Arabidopsis thaliana: one gene and its partner. The protein of the gene in region 2 purifies or fractionates together with the protein of the main gene of each other region. This does not show direct contact. Each region holds a gene or a part of one and is shown on either strand. Other genes may lie near its edges. The genes, in order: EMB1241 and RSR4.

Region 1 (5,323 bases), 5.7 Mb from region 2:
CAGAACCGCAAATCAACATTTGTACTTGTACGTTCACACAAGACATGCATTGTCCTAGGAGACTAAAGATGGACCGGCCGATTACACCTCGTATCCGATCCAAAAATTATGTGATATATTATCATCATTGAGGATAAAATTTACTATTGATTGTTTCACACTTTCACTGTATGACACTATTTATTCTATTACCCGGTTTAATGCATTATGCATGGATCCCAACGTTACTAGAAATATCCAAAAAATAACAAAAGAAAGAAGAAAAAAAAATCCAATCCAAGATACCCAACATACATGGCCCTAACATTTCTTTACACAAAATGGACAACTCCTCTTTAAGATATTTAAGTACCCAAAGAACCCTAACCAAAAGAAGAAAACTTGGACAATAATTTGGACTCGTAGGCCATAGTACTCAAATACAATTTACTGTATTGACTTTCTGTTTGTTCCAAACTTCCAATTATCAACATTTTCTCTGAATCTTCCGAATTTTCTAGCTGTGTATAGAGAGATGAAAAAAAATCAATTATGGCATTCCCTTTCGGATTGAATACTTAAGAATTCATTAAAAATGTCGATCTATATTACTTCTAGACTCTGTAGAAATGATATAACGTATCAATAACAATAACAACAATAATGGTAAAACAGACCTCTCCCTCTTTTATCTCTGTATCTCTCTCACACACACGCACACAAAACTGCTGAGTCTTGATCATCTTCAATTTCAAGATGAAGATGATTCTTCTTCTGCGCTTCCTTGTGCTGTGGCTTCTTCTCCTTCAGCTTCAAGGGGCTTTTCTGGTCCAGGTCCAGCTGATACTTTCACCATTGAAGGACGTAAAAGCCTTTCACCTAGCAAGAAACCTTTCCTGTATTCTTCTAGTACTATACCCTCTTCGTATTCCGCAGAGTCTTCTCTCATTATTGCCTCATGTAGCTTTTTTCACACAACAACGAGAAAAGCAAAAGGATAAAAAAGAGATGTCAGCTGTTAGGGACTTGAAAAGACCAACAAACAAAAGGATATCTACCAACTCATTGTCATTTAAACCCAACTTGCAAAAGTAACAACCACATCTTACATCTAAAGTCTCCAAAACTTTAGCAGATTCATGCTTAGGACTAGACGCATAAGTGGTTATGTATTTCAAGCTTTGCGATAACCAAAAGGCATCTAACTGAGATAAGTGATCCTAAACCTCAAAGATTTATTGATCATTTGCATCACAAAAGTATCATTCAGCATAATTTGTTCCATCCATCTGATGTAGCTAACTTTCAAAGTAACAACCATATCTACGTTCTGCTCAAGATTATTCCGGCAGCCCTATAGCAACGAATTATCCTAACTTCCAAAACAACTTTGATTTTAAAGATCACGTCCATAGTTAAAAATTAAAACCACCAGCAAGCTGAGCAACAAAAATACAGTTGTCGATCTCCGGAAAGAAGAAAAGATATCATAGTAACTAACCATTGGATCAAACTGCTTGCCGACTGTCTCCACATGGATAACACCAAGTGATCCCAGAATTTCTACAAACTGTTTGTATATGCTCTGATAGCTATTAGTGACTTTCTCTTCTCCCTCAGTCTCCACCTTAATTTGGGATTTAGCTCTCTCGAAATTATCCAAAACAGCCAAAAGATTCTCTACAACCTCTCCTTGAGCATTTGAAACAAGGTTTAGCCTTTCCCTCTCAGTCCTCTTCCTGAAGTTGTCGAAATCTGCACTGATTCTTATAAGCCGATCCCTCTCCACCGATAACTCATTGGATAAAGACGCTACTTTATCCGCAAGCAGAAATTTTTCATCTTCTATGGACTTTAAAGATGCTTCTATCTCAGCAATCTTCCCCTCGTTGTTGTCTGCTAAAGCTTCTTTATAGGATTTCAGCAACGCTGTGATAACAGCTGCTTCTTCTTCCTCAGCTTCACCCTCCTCAGCACTGGCATTTTCATTCTCGACATCAACAGCACCATCCGTCTCCTGCTCCATGATTTCAGAAGTGAAACAAAAAATCAGAAAAAGAGCAATCCAGTTTACATAGACGTTTCCTATCTATTCCTGATAAAAGCTGAGACAGAACACACACTAACGACACAATTTTTTAATGACCTCCTAAACAATCAGATTAACACCAAAAAAGCTTCAGAACATTCTGTGGCCCCCATACAAGAATCACGAAATCAAAATTCGATTTGGATAGTACATACACACCATGGTCTTAAACTACTAGTGAAACTCCTTCATTTTGGGAACACACCATACCACAAGAATATGAAATCTGTCATTCATCGGATTTGGTATATCCTAAGAAACATTAGCATTCACCATTTGACTCCTGAATAGACTGAATACAATCCTATTCATTGCTCTAATTCATGTGAACGTTCCTTCAGAGGGTAATATAATCAATAAAGCTTAAAAATTTAAGCAAACAACAAGCAATTCTAAATTACCATATCCCAAATTCGAAACCCTAATCACCGAACTAACAATGAAATAACCCCCAAGAAAGTTGAACAGAAGTGAGCCGAAATCGAAAAACCTGAACTTCGGGTTCGTTCGATTCCACCTCCGTCTCCGTCGTCTCAGCTTCTCCCGAAGCAAAGGGTACGAGGTTTAGTAAGCGGAGAGGATAGCCGCTAGAGACAGACCGGAGAGAAGCTCGGCGAGAGAGTGAGACGCTAACGTTTCTTCCTCCGGCGAAAGATACGCAAAAGGGCTTAAAGGGTACAGAAGGAGCATGAAGAAGAGTTGGTGTGAGATGTAAAGACGGCGTTTTGAGTAGACCGGCCATCGAAGAGTTCGGAGAAAGAGAAGGAGAGTGGCGGAGAGAGATAAGGAAGATAGAGAGAGAGAGGGCAAACGGTTCTACTCTTCCTCGTCGGATCTTTTGTTTTGTTTCGTTTTTTTAACCGTTGGATTTACTTTTCGTTTTTACTATGTTGATCGGACCGTTGTTGTTCAACAGAGATTACGTAGGGAGTTTTTCAACCGTCGGATTTAGATTTTCTTGAAACTTCTACAGTTTTGTGAATATTTTATATAATACAATAAAATCTCTGTAAATTAATACTCGAGAAGGCTGTTCGATGTTCTATGCCAATGATCTAACTGATTCCTGGTATGATGTCTCCAAACTCTTTGTAAGTTGTCTTCCACTCTTATGGTTCAACTCTTTTTCCAAGTCCACTTCATCACGAATCTCTTCATCTTCTCTAGCGATGACTACACTTTTCTTCAAGTGGGAGCAAATTTATCCAGGAACTGTTGTTCTGACATAAGAATATTTGAATGATTTGTAGTTGTATCAATTTCGCCTTGCCTTTCTTTTGGATCTGAATGTTTCAAACATTTTCGACAATAAAATATGTTTTTACCAATTTGTATCAGTTTTGTTATTGCAGATTCAAATTGTATCATGATCTCATGCATATCGTTGTTGAAAATAACATAATAAGACTTGAGATTTGGGAAATTTTTAGAAGCAATTTTGTGTTATTGACTATAACTAGTTCTACAATTTGGGCTTAGGCTTTATTTACAAAAGGGTTTCCTTAAGCCCAAAGAGATGTACTATATAGTTAAATGTTTGTTTTGGTCAAGTACTAGTACTCAATATGTTATAGATGAAAAGTAATAAGAGAATATCAGGGTTTGCCGGTTTGGGTTGACAACAAAGAGATAGGAGACCATCCATGTTTAATCTATTTTCTAAGTCCGCACACTTAGTTTTGTCAGAAGTAGTGGGTGCAACGGACCTTAATCCTAAATCAGAAGTATTAACTACAAAGTGACTAAAGTTTTAAACTAATTATTAAATATCACCCGTTGTTGAGGCTAACATATCATAAAAGATATTCTTCTTCGACCATTTTACTTTTTCATTTTCCAATTTCTCAATATATTATTTTAGTTAAAATTTTGTAAGTAGATGTTTATCAAAAATTCTCAAGTAAATATCTAGCATATGTTTGGAGGTGACAATCCATATAAGCTTTTAAAATTGAATATCAAATAGTTTAGTTCAAATGTTTAGAATTGGAAGCTAAATAAAGGAAGAATTTCAAAAGCATCTTTTCGAATACCACTTTTCAAAAATATTATATTTCTAATTGTTTATTAAAAGTACTCCTAAGAATATGAGGTTTATTCAAATATGTGTGTAACTTTATTAAAGTATACAAACTACTTTTATATGTGTGTAAAAACTTATAAATATTTTATAAATACAGTATAAAAATAACTTATAAATACCTTGTAAAACAATACCTTGTAAAACATTTTTAAATACCTTCTAAAATCTTATTAAACCATATAAAATACTTTATAAAACATTAGATCGAATCTCCAATTAGTAGTTTACACCAAAAACTTTATGAACTTTTGAGATTTAATGAAGAGTATTTTCTAAAAATAAACACCTAAAAAGTTTCCAATGGTGATTAACAAATTGAACTAGCTGAATAAAATGAGTACTGATAAGTTGAATAAAGATAAGCTGAATAATAAAAAAGAGTTGGATAAACTAGATGAGATGAATAAGTTAGAGAAAAATAAAAGGTAACCTCTATATGTTTTCAACAGCTAAACATATTTCAATATTAATTAGAAACAGCTAAACAACAGGTTGTATTTTATTATATTAATTCTAACGCATGCAACGCATGGGTCTTCCACCTGGGTATATCATATAGATTATGAGTCTGTATCAAATTGGTCATCACGTCGATTGAGAAAAATAAAAATAAAGTCTCTAATCATTTAGTTTCCTTCTTTTTATCGTCCCGTAATTCTCTATTTGTTTAACTTGACAATAAACTTAGATCTCGTTTTTTTACAATTTTTTTTTAAAAACAATAGATAAATATGTCTAATTTTCTTACAAAAAAGTGTATAAGATATTCCCAAATAGCCTACATATAGTATATATTTTGAATGAACGATTCCGCTTAACACTATCAGTGAATTTTGGGAACTCAAAAAGGATTATGACCAAGTTTTGGGTTCAAATCCTACCCTCAGCTAGTTTTCTCGTAGTCAAGTTTGTCTCAAATTATTCGTCCAAAACTCTTCGCTTACAAAGAAAGATTACACAAACTTAAAAAAATATTCAAACGAACGAGTTCTACTGTGGTATCAATCATACACATAATGCGACGATAAGTTAACAAATTTATGCATTCCTTAGAAAATAAAACAGTCTAACATTTTCAATTGTCAACATTTTCGGATGAATTTTCACTTTGTAAAAATATCCAAAAATGGGCAAGTATAACTCTGTTAACAATGAGACGCGATAACGCTGAG
Region 2 (4,192 bases):
GAGGAATCAGAAAAACGTTCGACGATTGCAACATGATCCGATTTCTGCTGGATAGTTTTAAGGTTAAGTACTACGAGAGAGATGTGTCGATGCATAGAGAGTATAGAGAAGAGCTCCGACGAATCTCAGCGGCGGAAACAGAGGTGTTGCCTCCGGTTCTGTTCGTAAAAGGAAGGTGTATCGGTGGAGCTCAGAGAGTGTTGGGACTGCACGAGCAAGGGAAGTTTAAGATTCTCTTTGAGGGCATTCCAATCACCGGAGATGAACGTTGCCGGCGGTGCGATGGTTTTAGGTTTTTGATGTGTGATGGATGCAGAGGTAGTCGCCGGATTATCTCTGGTGATGGATCAAGAATTCAGTGTTTGATATGTAATGAGAATGGGTTAATTGTGTGCGTTGGTTGCTCCTAATACCATTTTTTTTGTTTGGTCTATATATATCAAATTACATTATTCGTTTATTATTTTTCTTAGTATTGTAACGATTTTTTTATACAGAAAATAAATATGGTCATCAGTTATATCATATGGTTGTTTCTACACAAATCTCAAGTTATTATTGCCTTAAAAAAGAGTTTGAATTATTGACACGAATTGCACTAAATTTATAGCATTTGTTAATGTTTATAATTATATATGATGTGTATAAAGATTAACATACCGGTGTTAGTAGCAAAATTTTTGCAACATCCACTAAGATTGTCATCCATAAACTACATTTATTTGAGAATTTACCCTTATTATTTGATTTAATCATCGATCAACCACTTAACAAAACGTATTCACTAATTCGATGAATTGCCAAATACTTAAATATCTGAATGGTATAGTTACAGTGAAGTAGTCAAAAGAGCAAGTTGGGCCGCCAGGGTCGGCTGAGTGGACAAATCTACTGATTGCAAAGGAGAGGCGGGCCTTCCTTTTCAACCACAGCCGCCTATTTCTCTATTTACTTTTATCATCACAAACTGCTATTTTTAGATTTTCTTTTTAAGAGATTTTTTCCTTTATTTCAAATTTTTTTTTCTAGGATTATAAAACTTAACGTACTATTGTATAAAAATGAATTTCTCCTACTCCCAAATGTAGTATCTTAAAAATCCCATTCCAAAACGATTGGTTGTAAATTGTTTGATAAAGAAATATAAAGATGTTTGTTATGAAGAAAATGATGCTTTCCATAACATTTTTTCCAAAAGCGTGCAATTCATTTTCTGCTAACATTTTTTCTCCTTGTCTTTTATGCAACAATTAATGCGGACTAGAGCGACAGTCGTGGATTCTATGAGGTCCAGTTACATTTCTTTGTGTCAGAAGATTTTTTTCCAAAATTTTTTCCCTAAAATCTATTTAAAATAAGAAAAAATAAATTGTGAAAACGTTTTAAAACATCATTAACAATGCATTTAACACTTTTATAATCCAATTCCGGACGACTCATTTTTTCTTGTCAAAACCTCTAGTTTAGTTGGCTAAAATCTTAAAATGCAGTCCACTAAACATGTGTTAATCGAAAAATCGAAATTGTGTTTTAATCTTGACCGTCCGATCACAACAAAATCCCACACTTTCCCAAATAAAAATTAAAAATTCAATAATTAAGGAGTTTCTATTTAATTAATAAAAATAGAGAAAAACATCTATTTTATTATTTTAGCTTTTATTCACACCGCCACAAACTCTCACTATAAAGCCGATCCATAGATAAACGAGGACCGGCCAGAAATCGCTTCACCATTCCCAAATCTCTCTTCCATTTTCTCCACACAAATTTCTCTTCAATCTCCGATAATGGAAGGAACCGGCGTTGTGGCGGTGTACGGTAACGGTGCGATAACGGAGGCGAAGAAATCTCCCTTCTCCGTGAAGGTCGGTTTGGCTCAGATGCTCCGTGGTGGTGTTATCATGGATGTCGTCAACGCCGAGCAAGCTCGTATCGCCGAGGAGGCTGGTGCTTGCGCCGTCATGGCTTTGGAGCGTGTTCCTGCTGATATCCGCGCTCAAGGAGGCGTCGCTCGTATGAGCGATCCACAAATGATTAAAGAAATCAAACAAGCCGTTACGATTCCGGTGATGGCTAAGGCTAGGATTGGTCATTTCGTTGAAGCTCAGATCCTTGAAGCAATTGGAATCGATTACATCGATGAGAGCGAGGTTTTGACTCTTGCTGATGAAGATCATCACATCAACAAGCATAATTTCCGGATCCCGTTCGTTTGCGGTTGCCGGAATCTCGGCGAGGCTCTGAGGAGGATCCGTGAAGGTGCGGCGATGATTAGGACCAAAGGTGAAGCTGGAACCGGTAACATTATTGAAGCTGTGAGGCATGTGAGGTCTGTTAATGGTGACATTAGGGTTTTGCGAAACATGGATGATGATGAGGTTTTCACTTTCGCTAAGAAATTAGCCGCTCCGTACGATCTCGTGATGCAGACTAAGCAGCTTGGTCGTCTTCCTGTAGTCCAATTCGCCGCCGGTGGAGTGGCTACTCCGGCTGATGCAGCTCTCATGATGCAGCTTGGATGTGATGGTGTCTTTGTTGGTTCTGGTATCTTCAAGAGCGGTGACCCAGCTCGTCGTGCACGTGCCATTGTTCAGGCTGTGACTCATTACAGTGACCCTGAGATGCTTGTGGAGGTGAGCTGTGGGCTTGGAGAAGCCATGGTTGGGATCAATCTCAACGATGAGAAGGTTGAGAGGTTCGCTAATCGCTCCGAGTGATCAAAGAAATAAAAGGTAAAATATCTCAGACGAAATGGTTTCAGAATTTTCTCAGACCATTTTGCAGTAATCTCTTTGAAAAGAAGAAGATGATGATATTGTTGGTAGTTTGTATCCTTTGTGTTTTCCTTATAATCTTTGATAGTCTTTTGTTATTGTAACTCGTAATCCCTTTGCAAGAACAAGTTTGTCAGTTATAATAATGTACTACTCTCTTGATCGATCAGTTGGTTTTGAATCTGATATATTCTTCGATCCATTGGTATTGACCATTGAGCTTGTTGTTCAATTACATTTCAGACAGGCCTATTAGTACTTAGTAGTATCAGGTTGATAAACAAAGGATGAACTTGTTTAATTTGGGAATTCGTACACTGGTACTGAGCTCTGTAGATGTTTGAGACTTTGAGTATTGGATTTGGTTTTGAAGAACTGTCCTGGATTAGATTCACATAGCCTCTAGTTCTTATTTTAAATTTGTGATTTCAGGCATAGCTGTCAACCTAACAAAGGAAGATAATATGAGTTGAGTTTTCTTTGTTGTTAACGAGTACTAATCATCGATTTCATGATGTGTGGATTATGGTTTATGGGGGGTTCTTTGCAGCTATGTTTGCATTGTAAATTGGTTTTTATGAAATGCTATGTTAATGTGTGATTAGTAAAGGAGAAGAGTTCATGGGACTCTTCTAGCTTTTAAAATCCATAAGAGTCCTCTAGCTTTGAAAATCCATGGGACTCACTCTTCTAGCTTTGAAAATCCATGGGGCTCTTCTAGCTATGGGATTTCAGATCTCATGCGCGGTAGTAGCATACGATCATCGGAATCCATAGAGCTCTTTTGTTCAAAATCGAGTTCTTGAAGGTCTTACACGACACCATGACTTAGGGATACGAGTATATATCCCTTGACTTCAGCCTCTAAGCTCTTGGCTCTGCCGGATCCAATTTCTCCAAAGAGCATTACTTCAAAGTTCAAAAGGTTCTCACTACTAACAGGTTAATTTTGTTAACCGAGATCAACCAAAATCAAACAAAACTTAACCAAATTGTAAATGTGATTTGATTGCACATCACTCGCATTTTGTCCAAAAAGACTCCGGTAAGACCAGAAACACGGATACAATTTAAATATCAATCGAAATAGGCCCACATCGGCCCATTATTACTGCACATTGGCCTATTTAATCAATTCACTAACTATATGAGACTTATATAATATACTATCAAATATGAGGGACCATAACACAATTTCTTTCTTTATCCAAACGACGTAGTGTAACTATTGATCAGTCTCCTTTAGGAAAGACCTCAAAAATGGAAATCAGTTCATTAGTGTTCATATCAGAAATAAAACGAATCTCCATCGTCGTCCTTGTCTCTAAACCCTATATGCCATAGTCGAAGAAGAAGAAGAAGATAGATGCATATCCATCAAAGCTCTGGGCACTAGTGTATATATTATTATCGAT

What was found.
Region 1: the proteins of RSR4 (region 2) and EMB1241 fractionate together in Arabidopsis thaliana (co-fractionation; one large-scale study listed by BioGRID). This does not show direct contact.

Annotation. Positions count from the first base shown.
Region 1 is NC_003076.8:5,838,830-5,844,152, forward strand, and holds EMB1241 (Co-chaperone GrpE family protein), read right to left. Parts: upstream 3,030-5,323; 5' UTR 2,811-3,029; coding exon 2,559-2,810; intron 1,997-2,558; coding exon 1,481-1,996; intron 944-1,480; coding exon 731-943; 3' UTR 510-730; downstream 1-509.
Region 2 is NC_003076.8:171,104-175,295, reverse strand, and holds RSR4 (Aldolase-type TIM barrel family protein), read left to right. Parts: upstream 1-1,632; 5' UTR 1,633-1,790; coding exon 1,791-2,720; 3' UTR 2,721-3,407; downstream 3,408-4,192. Other genes in the region: AT5G01420 (Glutaredoxin family protein), read left to right, coding at 1-410. UniProt on the Arabidopsis thaliana protein: Catalyzes the formation of pyridoxal 5'-phosphate from ribose 5-phosphate (RBP), glyceraldehyde 3-phosphate (G3P) and ammonia. The ammonia is provided by PDX2.